Linked DNA regions of Mytilus edulis. The protein of the gene in region 1 purifies or fractionates together with the protein of each later gene. This does not show direct contact. Links are inferred from orthologs where the notes say so. Each region holds a gene or a part of one and is shown in the gene's direction. Other genes may lie near its edges.

What was found.
Region 2: the proteins of T-complex protein 1 subunit beta-like (region 1) and DDB1- and CUL4-associated factor 7 purify together in Homo sapiens (affinity purification with mass spectrometry; 4 studies listed by BioGRID and IntAct, counting the BioPlex papers as one, with this or other methods). This does not show direct contact. The link is inferred for Mytilus edulis from reciprocal best matches to the Homo sapiens genes CCT2 and DCAF7.
Region 3: the proteins of T-complex protein 1 subunit beta-like (region 1) and regulatory-associated protein of mTOR-like purify together in Homo sapiens (affinity purification with mass spectrometry; 3 studies listed by BioGRID and IntAct, with this or other methods). This does not show direct contact. The link is inferred for Mytilus edulis from reciprocal best matches to the Homo sapiens genes CCT2 and RPTOR.

What each region holds. Positions count from the first base shown.
Region 1 is NC_092353.1:27,030,506-27,034,266, reverse strand, and holds the start of T-complex protein 1 subunit beta-like, read left to right. Parts: upstream 1-825; 5' UTR 826-999; intron 1,000-1,938; coding exon 1,939-2,016; intron 2,017-3,761. UniProt on the Homo sapiens protein: Component of the chaperonin-containing T-complex (TRiC), a molecular chaperone complex that assists the folding of actin, tubulin and other proteins upon ATP hydrolysis.
Region 2 is NC_092350.1:66,547,560-66,551,320, reverse strand, and holds the start of DDB1- and CUL4-associated factor 7, read left to right. Parts: upstream 1-1,300; 5' UTR 1,301-1,451; intron 1,452-3,761. Other genes in the region: PAX-interacting protein 1-like, read right to left, coding at 898-1,002. UniProt on the Homo sapiens protein: Involved in craniofacial development. Acts upstream of the EDN1 pathway and is required for formation of the upper jaw equivalent, the palatoquadrate. The activity required for EDN1 pathway function differs between the first and second arches.
Region 3 is NC_092352.1:4,900,352-4,904,112, reverse strand, and holds the start of regulatory-associated protein of mTOR-like, read left to right. Parts: upstream 1-1,408; 5' UTR 1,409-1,556; coding exon 1,557-1,706; intron 1,707-3,761. UniProt on the Homo sapiens protein: Component of the mechanistic target of rapamycin complex 1 (mTORC1), an evolutionarily conserved central nutrient sensor that stimulates anabolic reactions and macromolecule biosynthesis to promote cellular biomass generation and growth.

The sequences.
Region 1 (3,761 bases):
GCTATGGTCTCAATGACATGTATATTCACTCCTTGTGTATAGTACTCTGCCCCTCCACATCATCTCAATTCATTTTTGCACATATGTGTTGCATTTACCCTTTATTAAATAAGTTAGTACATAAGCATCACACGATGAAACTTTCCTGTGGATAGTATGTTGAAACTGATTTGGATACTAGGGGCTGAATATTTTTTTCGTGCCAAAAAAAATACATATTTAAGATTGTAGGGAGGACCCGTCGATTGTGACATGCGGATATGAGTTCGCCTCTGTACGACATTAAAAAAATCATATAAATTCAAGTTTAATGGACTTTTTACTTACAAAAAAACCTTAGAAGTATTGGAAATTATTAAAATTTATATATTGACTGAAAATGTTTTGAACTCAGAAAAGTATCGATATAGTACAGATATATTTTATGCAACCCATAGAGCATATTAGAGATTTTTTTTTTTACTAATATGACTCACTGTACGGTTCTGAGCCTGTGGTTTTACGAGAGACATGTGTATATATGTCTCTGGGTTTTATATCTTAGAAATAATTTCTATGCATATTTCAGGATATTTGAAGTTATCAGTAACATTATTGTCAGTGGCGGATCCAGAAATGTTCATAAGTGGGGGCCCACTGACTGACCTAAGAGGGGGCCCGCTCCAGTCACGCTTCAATGATTCCCTATATAAGCAACCATTTTTTCCCTGCCCCTATCATATATACCATATCTAACTCCTATATTTCATCTTAAACCATTAAAATATTACGTGGCGCGAATATTAACATTTGCCGGAACATTCCTATATTTGTTTCCGACATTTTGTTTTCTCTGTTAGATTTTTAGAACTGGTGCCCTGTTTTCCTTACAGTTTGGTGTACCTTTACTAGTCAATAAAGTTTCAGTACATACGCGTCTGAACGGGAACATTCTAGAGAAAAGAAACACTACTGACACAATTTTTAGACCAGAAAGGTTTTAGTAAGACTGCAAAAAAGGTAAATGACATATTAGTGCATACAAAAATCTCCGTAAATCATAATTTTAGTCTCCAATTATTAACGAAACGATATCGTTATTTACTTCACATGGTATTTTGGTAACCATGTGGTTTACACCCCCCTTTTATGTCAGAGGTAGTTACTACTGCATATACTTTATCGTTTACGGTGTGGATTGAGTTTAACATGTTCAGATAAAAGATATAGTCCTAATAGATTAATATATCAAAATTATACATTATCATAACCTTAATAAATTAGAAATTAACATTTTTTACAACTCCTCCATGTGTTTATATGTGTTTTTGGGATATTTAGAATGCATTGTGACCATTGAAAAAGCTTAGTACAATTTCATATGTTTACACAAACATATAATCTAATGATAGACAATTAAAACATATCACCTGAATTTAAAATGCCAAAGAAAAAAGTCCGTATATTATCATTGACATTGTGATGGGTTTATGTCCTTAGAACATGTAGACATTGATGTGTAAAGGTAATGTCCACCTAGAAAATTTCAATTAACCTGTATTGACCACTTGATGAGACATTAAAAATCATACTCTTCTGTAGTCCAAATAAATATGATGTCTTGAAAGGCTTTCATACTTTTACTTTATGATTAAATCATGGCGCTTATGCATATGAGGATGTGGGGGATCGAAGGGGTGCTGATCCCAAAATACCTGTCTAAAAACATGTAATCCTGAAGGTCTGAATTTAAAGAAATTTGAATCCTGACATCCCAAAATTTGAAAAAAGAATTCCCAGATCCCGAAAGGATCAATCCTGAAATCCTGAGCTAATAAACACCTGATACCAGAGTCCTGACAAAAGTCAGACTCCCTCTCATACATTTTTGATATATTATACATCCACATGTGTATGTCACTGAATTTACTTTATTATGAAAGAAAACCTTTATTGCAGATGTCGTCATTAGCATTGAACCCTATACAGATTTTCAGCCAAGGAGCTGAAGAAGAGAAGGCAGAAACTGCTAGATTGGTAAGCTCATACTATTTGAGAAATTTCCATGAAAGGATAACTTGTTAACAATATTAAGTTATTAACCCTCTTCCTGCCACTACTTTTATATGGTTGCATTTCCTGTGCCAGAAAATACTACAGATGGATGTTTGTGACATACCCAAAAATGACGTCTATCAATAAACATTGTATGAGCTCACATCTTAAATGAAAGATTCAGCAGATTCAAAGCACCTGTTTTTTTCCATCTCCATTTATTTTTTATATTGAAACTTTAAATAGTTCAATTCAAGTCATTTTTTTCTAATGGCATGTTCAACATATGAAAACTACAGGATTTTGATATTAAAATATATAATTGTCATTAATATTAGAGTTACATTTTTTAAAAAAACTTGAAAGAAGTAAGACATTATTTTAAAAAATTACCATATCATATGGTCATTCATTTGTTTATGCTTTTGTTTAAAATTTTATGTTAAGTTTAGTGCAAACATAAATCATCTACTTTCTTTGACATACATGTATATCAGTCAAGGGTCTAACTTAAATAAGTTATTAGAGAAAATAACATGCATGTTGTTATTGTGGGCTAAATTATCAAAAACTGTGATGACATATATGTATGTTACCTGTTTTAAAGGGAAAATATACAACCTTGATTTTGTAAAATTTTTCTCAAGTTCTATTAATATAATTTTCTTTATGTATACTTATCTTTGCAAAGATATACCAGCTCATAGTTTACTAATCATACATAGTACACCTACATGTATGTTATTACAGAAAATATATTCCAAAGGGTGTTATTACAGCTTCTCTATATCTCTTTAGAGGCTTTGCTCTGACATTCATAACAATGTATTTCAATTCATTGTAAATATGATGATCAGAGCTTTTAATGAGGCACTGCGCAAGATTCCAAGTGTCTCATTTACTCTCATATAGTAAGTTACATGCTTGTAATAACTAAGCCTTGTTATTACAGCTTAGTTTGCCCTTAACGGCCTTGTCTCATTGATTTACCATGGTTGATCAAAATTGTATAAATGGAATTAGAAAATTAGTTATCAAGGTAATATATTAAGCTACTGCGCAAAGTTTTAAGAATTCTCAAGTGCCCATTAAAGATAAAATATATTTAACTGATAACAAACATGTTATTACAGATTAAGGAAAAAAGAGTTATTACAGATTAAGGAAAAAAGAGTAGACAAGTCATGAAAGTTTCTGTAATAACACATGCATGTTATTTTTCTCTGATAACTTATTTAAGTTGGACCCTTGACTGTATTTTGTAATTGAATTTTTGGTTCTTGATAGACACATCAAAATACACCTCAAAATATTTTGAAAAAATCAGATCAGCAATTGTGGTAATATGAGGTAGGCATTACCTGTGAAAGGAGACGAAGTCTGTATGAATTATTTTTTTTAAATTCCAACATATTTTAATTTCAAAATGGAAATACCGATTTTGGTTCTGTTGTTAAGGATTTACTTGTGACGTTATTTAAGTTATGACGACATGTTCAATGTAAACAAAGAAACGCGATCATCAGGTTTATTCATATCAAAGACAAAAGAATTATTAAAAATGAAATTGATGTTGTATTCCTTGAGTTTCTATATATTTTCTAGACTACTCAATAGTTGCATGACACCAAGACCGGAAGAAGGAAGTAGATTTCTGCGTTATGCGCAAATGCGGGAATTAAAAAAAGTGACCAAAAAAAAGTTCACAATTTTGAGTTCATTAGTAA
Region 2 (3,761 bases), on another chromosome or scaffold:
GTGTCCGTTTGTATCGCAGTTTCTACATTTTTAAATTATGAAGTTATTTTCCATGATAACTTTTACTTTGAATTTCATGGCGATTTTTTTTTATTCAGTTCACACACAGAATAGCTAAATAAATATTTTCCGTCCAATGGACCTATAAAATTTAACGCATCATTATGACTTTAATATTTAATCGAATCATTAGTCTATAATTGGTTTGTTTATTCAACAGTTGTCTGATGATTGTGAACTAAGGTAATGCCACTCGTAATCACTTAATTCAATCCAATGCTGATTTATTAATGTTCCGTAATATAATATCAGCACTCTTTTATAGAAACGATTCGGCAAATCAAACAACATTTCCTAATTTGAAAAAATTTATGAACTTAAGAAAAACAAAGTTAATATGTATCAGCTTGGGGATCGGCTTGTACCGTTCATGTATGTAACTATTTGTTATTACATGTTACACAAGATGAAACTTGTTAGGATCACAATTATAAGAAAATGCTAATTACTGCTGATTAATGTTGATGTCTAAATTCTTTTATATATGTTTTAATATAATTATAGCCAATAATCTTGAAAACTTGTAATAAAGACATAATCAACCTAGTTGTTTTATACTCATCTAAGGAAAATATTTTTCAAAGGCCTTTTTTAATTTGTTTACCGTACACCTTTAACATTATAATAATAATAATAAACATTTATGAATTACAATTAATATATATTTATTTTTATTCCTTAGAAATATTTTTTTTATTGGGGCCGGATCGACTTTACATATGGGCCGGATCGACGTGGGGCCGGATCGACGTGGGACGGATCGACTTGGGCCGGATCGACGTGGGGCCGGATCGACCCGAAAGCGATAATTTTAGTAAATATTGAATAATTTTGGACCTCTTTTGCAATATCGCCAACGACATAGTATTTGACGTCCTTGAATAGAGCCTCAGGTACGTTTACGGGCTTGTCCATGGATTCTGATCCTTCTAATTCTGTCATTTTCGTTCATTAATTTATTTGGGGCATTTCCCGCTGAATGTTTTTGCTCGCACAAAATAAAACATACAAATATCTTTTAAACGCTTATGACTATGATCATTTATTGTTACATTTACAAGCATTTCATGAACGTCGATCGAAAATCGATTTACGATTATTGTCGTAAATTAAATAATTTTTAATCAAAATTTATTATCAAAAGATATTCATTTAATCTTTAAACAATGTTTGTTCATTCATCAAATTAATTCAGAAGAAATTTCATTTATTTATTCATCAACACTTCAAAACGGAATTTACGATAATCGTAATCCTATTTTTATTGACCAAGAAATTTCCTGTCTAGTGTTTTAAACATCAAAATATGTCATAAATCAGGCAAAATGAATCATTTCTTTACATTCTAATTTGATTTTGTTCTACATATATCATCGATTAACAGTTCATCGGTAATTATATATCTATGTTGCATCAAATAACGTTGGTTTTTACGAATGTTTCATTGTTTACATTTGAAAAGACTTTGTTAAAACATGCATGTGATTTTTACAAATTAACCTTTACTTTAATTAATTGGCACTGGCTATGGTGACATCAAAATGTTACAATAATAAAAAAAGTTATATTTTACAGTCAGGAATTTTCAATGTACTCGTGGTAACTATCATTGTTCAAAATTAAGTGATCACACATTCACCAGTTGATTAATGTCGGCATAGTAAACAATCAAAGAATCGAAATTTTGAGTTGTTTTTTTTAGCTTGGGTGTTAAATTTATAAAAATTGGAATCATGATGGGCGAGTTATCACTTGCAAAATAGTTCTGTCACCGCCTAAGAAAAAAAAGCGTGTTGCTTCGTGCAAATACTAAGAGAAATGGGAGAATGATGTCAAGTACAGGGGCTGGTTGTCTAAATCAACGTTAGGATTGTCACATGCCTTTTGTAAAGTTTGCAACAGAGACTTTAAAGTTGACTACGGTGGCCTTAATGATGTCTTCAAACATTCTAGTACTGCTTGTGATATTGATCTATATAATATATGAGGGTTTGGATGGGGTTAAATGATTAAAGAATATAATGCCCTTAAAAAATGAAGATAAGGGAATAACGGGCAAAAAAAAATGAAAATTGGAGAAATACGTGGTCAAATTTTTTTGAAGATTAGAAAAGAAAGAGGTTAATTTTTTGAAGATTAGAGAAAAAAGGGGTGAAAACTAAATGTTTACAGAACAACAGACACTCCCCCCCCCCACCCCCCATTTCCAGACCCTCATATATTGTTGTTTTTTTTGTTATTAAATTATTAAAATTATTACTTTTTTTTTTATTTCTTGACAATGTATCAGACAAACATAAAGTCATCTTACTGGTGTTTATCTCAACAAAAAGAATACAACAATCAAACAATTTAAAAAAAGATAGGTTATAATAGCATCTTCAACTATCCCCCCCCCCCCCCCCCCAAAAAAAAAAGAAGTATGTCAGACACTTTTAGGAGCCAAATCATCACACGAAAAAATGCCGCGAAAAATTCTACCCTCAAAAATGGTGCCGCGCACAAAAACCCCCATGGCCATTTTCAAAAGTTGGCAGGTATGGGAGACGAAGTCTGAATGATTTTTTTTTTTTTTTTTCAAACATATTTTATTTCAAAACGGAAATACTGTAACGTTTGATTTTTGTTCATTTGTACAATGTTGTAAGGGATTTTAGTTGTGACGTTTATTTCAGTAATGACGTCATATGCAATGTAAACAAAGCAGGGGTGTGGAAACGCTATGCCTGACTCGCCCGACTCGTACATTTGAACAACTGGACAAGTAATTATTTTTGTCTTGGTTGCCCGTGGACAAGTAAAAAAAGACAAAAGTCAAATAACAAAAAAAAGACATAGAATTAATTTCAAAACGTATAAAGATGTTTAATTTATGTAAAAGAAACCAATAATCAGCAAGTAAAAACATCAATGTTCATGACGATAAATATTACATGATACCGGAAATAGATCGATTACCAAAATAAGTAAAAATAAGTAAAAATAAGTATGCGAACCCGAGTCGCATAACATTGCATTGGCTTTGTCCATTGACCCGGGATCGTCGATTAAGTTTGATCCATCATTTACCAGAAGTGATATTTCTTTAAATTTTGTATCGAGATTCAGATTGACAAATACTTAATAAAAAGCTGGGCAAGCAAGACAAATAGAATCATGAGTCGAGTAGAAAAACTTAAATGCAAACGGAGGAAAAAAAAAGGAAGCGAGAATTTCAGACTTCGTGGATATCAGATTGCCCCTGGCTATCTATGGAAATTCGGAAAATAAATTCAGTTTTTGTCTTATTTATAGATGAAAGGTCAACATTATTTGTAGTCAAACTGGTAAATAGAAGGGACGCTTTAATTGTACATCAAGACAATAATAAATAATCAAGAAAAAAACAAGCGTGTCAGTTGAGAGAAACACCACAAAATCAATAGTTGATCTATTATTTAGTTTACATTTCTTCAATCACTGTCCTCAAATTTAGTATATTGTGTACCTACTGGCTACAATTTTTATTCCCAAACTGCTGCAAAATTGTCCTTTACATGTCATTTCATTAGTTGGTTTGCTGTTAGGTGTCTGTCCCCTTGCTGTTAACCCATTTTCTACTTTCCTAATTTTTATGCCCCACCTACGATAGTAGAGGGGCATTATGTTTTCTGGTCTGTGCGTGTGTCCGTCTGTTCATCCGTCCGTCTGTCCGTTCGTCC
Region 3 (3,761 bases), on another chromosome or scaffold:
TGAAAATCTATTAATTAATTTCAATTGGCCTAGTTACCAGTATAACACTAAAACCAACCCTGCAGTTTGTTACAATCAAGTATCATAAAACTCTCTTTGTCTCTAAAAATAGCCAAAACTATAGGAAACAAACTGTCAGTGTCAATATATATATATATATACCAACAAATCAAAGCCTCCTCCATCAATGTCTCGGTTAAAAACGACTATAGTGACGTCACAAACAATATTGGATGAATGAAGAGATTTATTACACTGATTTTATTATATTAGTTCAGGGGAGAAATCGAGTCTGGTGAAGAGGAACAATCCTGTACTGGAAATCAACACACTGGCAAAACCCCCCTTTTTTATCAACTCGCCCACATTTACTGTGTCAACTATTATAAGTTATATGGTTTGTTACAGTACTGACCCCCTACGGATCCATAGAGGGTTAGTAAAATCCATGAGGGTTTGGATGGGGTTAAATGATTAAAGAATAATGCCCTTAAAAAATAAAGATTAGAGAATAATGAGCCAAAAAATAGAAGATTAGAGAATAAAAGGGTTAATTTTTGGAAGATTAGAGAAAAAAGGGGTTAATTTTTTAAAGATTAGAGAAAAATGGGGTGAAAATTAAATGTTTACAGAATAACAGACCCCCCCATCCATACCCTCATCCATAGGGGCTGAGGCCATATGCTCACGTACGTCCCAGAAAGGTGGCACTGTATTGTGATTAGTTAAACGGACAGAAAGTCACAGGACAAAAAGTCACAAATTTGGTAGGACAAAAATACATATATTCATTTTTAGTGTAGGAAATGTGTCATTATGCTTGAAAAATTAGGATTTATTTAATTTTAATCATGCAAATGAAAGATTTCTTGGCACTATGATCTTTGATATTTTTTTATAAATATTTGTTAACAAAGTTGGTTTATGTACAAAAGTTCAAGAAAAATACAAAAATATTTTTGTAAAAATAATCGTTTGTTATTCAAAGAAAATAATCAGAAAAAATGAATTGTGACTTTTTGTCCTGCGACTTTTTGTCCTTGACTTTTTGTCTGTGACCTTTTGTCCTGTGACTTTCTGTCCTAAATTCGTGTGATTATTGTGGTCGTTATTTTTTTTCTAAGTAGGACGAGTTGGTAAAGAAGAATGGAGTGGGTTTTTTTACGAACTATAAGTCGATTTGTTGTGGGACGATTTCAAGAAGGACGAGTTGTCGTTGATTCGATTTTTTTACTCATAATTCCCGCCTTTACAACTTGTACTTTCACTTTCGATATCGACCACAAATAGTCTTTAACAATCTTTAACTTTTCGATTTCGAAATGTAATATATCAAAATCTATTTAAAATATAAAAATATTTTACAATATAACGAAAATCGAATGTGATGGAATAAAGCTGTTATATCATACTAAATTAGAGACTACGAATGTAAAAAAGTAAACATGGCCGATGAAAAAAGCATGACACCTTACTCTGTCAAATTTATTCTTTTCCATCACATTGACAGTTTGAGATAATTGCAAATAACATATTTGTAAACCTCTTTATTCAAAATGTCAAGTGATTTTGAACTGACGCCTTTGATTGATGAAGATGATGAGCTGTCCGACTGGAATGTTCTCGTTGCCTTTAACGAACTTCGTCACTGGGAAAAAATTGAAGGGTCAAAGAAAGTTACCCAGACTTGGAGAATGAAAGAAAGGGTGCATATTCCATAATTTAAAGCTGTTCTATCTAAAATGTTCACTTATACCAGCAATTATTTAATTATAGCAATAATAATGGATTCATGATGTTCATTGAAAAAGGCTGTCTTATTTTGTACAACATGTATGGCCAATTTGGATTTTATATGCTATGAGATGAGACTGACACACAAATCCCTGTCTGTTCGCTCCCATTCACGTTCACGCTCAGTCTTGTTCGCACCCTATCACTTTCGCACCCTACACTTTTGCACCCAGAGTCCGTTAGCACTCTACACGTTTGCGCCCAGTTATTTTCATTGGTTTTGTGTTTAATGACTTTGTAATTAAGTTTTGCCAAGTGTATTCCTTTACATATGTACGGTGCAGTCCGGTGTATCCGCGCACCTAAGACTTATGTCTTCACTTCATTTAACTGATAAAACCAATAATTGGATAATATTGTGTGAATACATTCATAACATACTTTTATTTCATAAACTTATCAGTTTGTAGGGTTTCACCCTCAAGATTTTGTGTAATGGGTTTCCAAAATTGGGGAAACCCATTTCTGAGAGTTCCTCCAATGTCCGGTGATTTCGCGCATGCCTTCCAAAAATAGCTTATTTTGAATAGAGGAAAGATTTGCTGCTACAAAAGGTAGCTAAATTCAAACCAAGCACACTGCCAATGATGCAGAGCAAAAATTATTTCAATTTGATAAAAAATTGACTTAACCCTTTCACCGATTGCTGCCCAGACAGAAGCTACTCTGAGACGATAGCTTCCCTGGCTACTTTTACTCAAGTGGGAGATCTTCATAATAAATGTCAATAAAAACTTGTTTGTAGTTATTTGTGTATTTATTTCATTCACTAACACAATGTTCACAGTTTTGTTTATGTTTTGATAATTTTTTTATCATAAAATATTCAAATTTTCAAATTTTCGGCATTATTTATGTGAAATTCTCAAAATTCTGCTCTTTGACCCCAAATCGTAATTTTTTAACTCAAAACGGCAAAATTTTGTAAAAATTTATGAGACTGTACAAATTCCTCACACTGAACGATGTCCATTCCAAGTGTTTTGTACATAAAACGACATTTTATGTCAAAAAAGTATACTAGTTTGGCTTCAATTCTTCCATATTCTTTCAAAAAAAATGTTCCCTCATTTCAAATTCTCGTAAATTCCGTAAATTTCCTTCGATTTTGACAAGGTTTTCAACAAACGGAAGCGACATGTTTACACTTTCATCCGGGTATTCATGAAAGAAAGATAACTCATGTTTGCACTGTTTTGAGCGGGAAATATAAAAGATGTATTCTGATCCCGGTAAAACGGGACTCATCGTCAGCTGTCTGAAGCGTAAATCCCGGTAAACCGGGACTCATCGGCGAAAGGGTTAAGTATAACAAATTTTATCTGATGCTGAATTTCTTTTAATGGCCATTGGCCAAATATTGTAAATCACGGGATTGCAGTTATTATTTCTATCTGGAACTTATCTATTTTATTCTTTTTTCTCCCTTCGGAATGCTAAAACAATAACAAGAACAATTTCATTTGTGTTACGGTGTTGATATAACTATATCAGCAAATGCGCGGTATCACCGGCCGCGCGGACACCGGGGACTCCACTGTATTCCAAGTATAATTTTTTGTCATTGTCTCAAAACTTTGTTTTTATGTTGAATAAATCTTTATGTCTCATCATTTTTTGTGTGTTGAATAAATCTAAATCATGTTTTGGATTGTGTAATGTATTGTTTAAATAAAAAATCAGTTTCTAAATAAAGTGAGATTCTGTCAACGTTTTTTTTTGTTGTTGTGTTGAATAACTCTTTATCATGTTTTGGTTAGTGTATTGCTATAACTTTATATCATTGCTTTAAAATAAACAGATAAAGTGAGATTCTGTTTTTTTTTCAAGTAATAACAATTTATATCTTTCGTGTTTTTCATTTAAAATCTTCAATTTTTTAATCATACCAAGCCTTTAATCATGTTAATACATGCAGTATTTACATCAAAGCAATTTAAAATTGGGCGCGAACGGGCTTTTGGTGG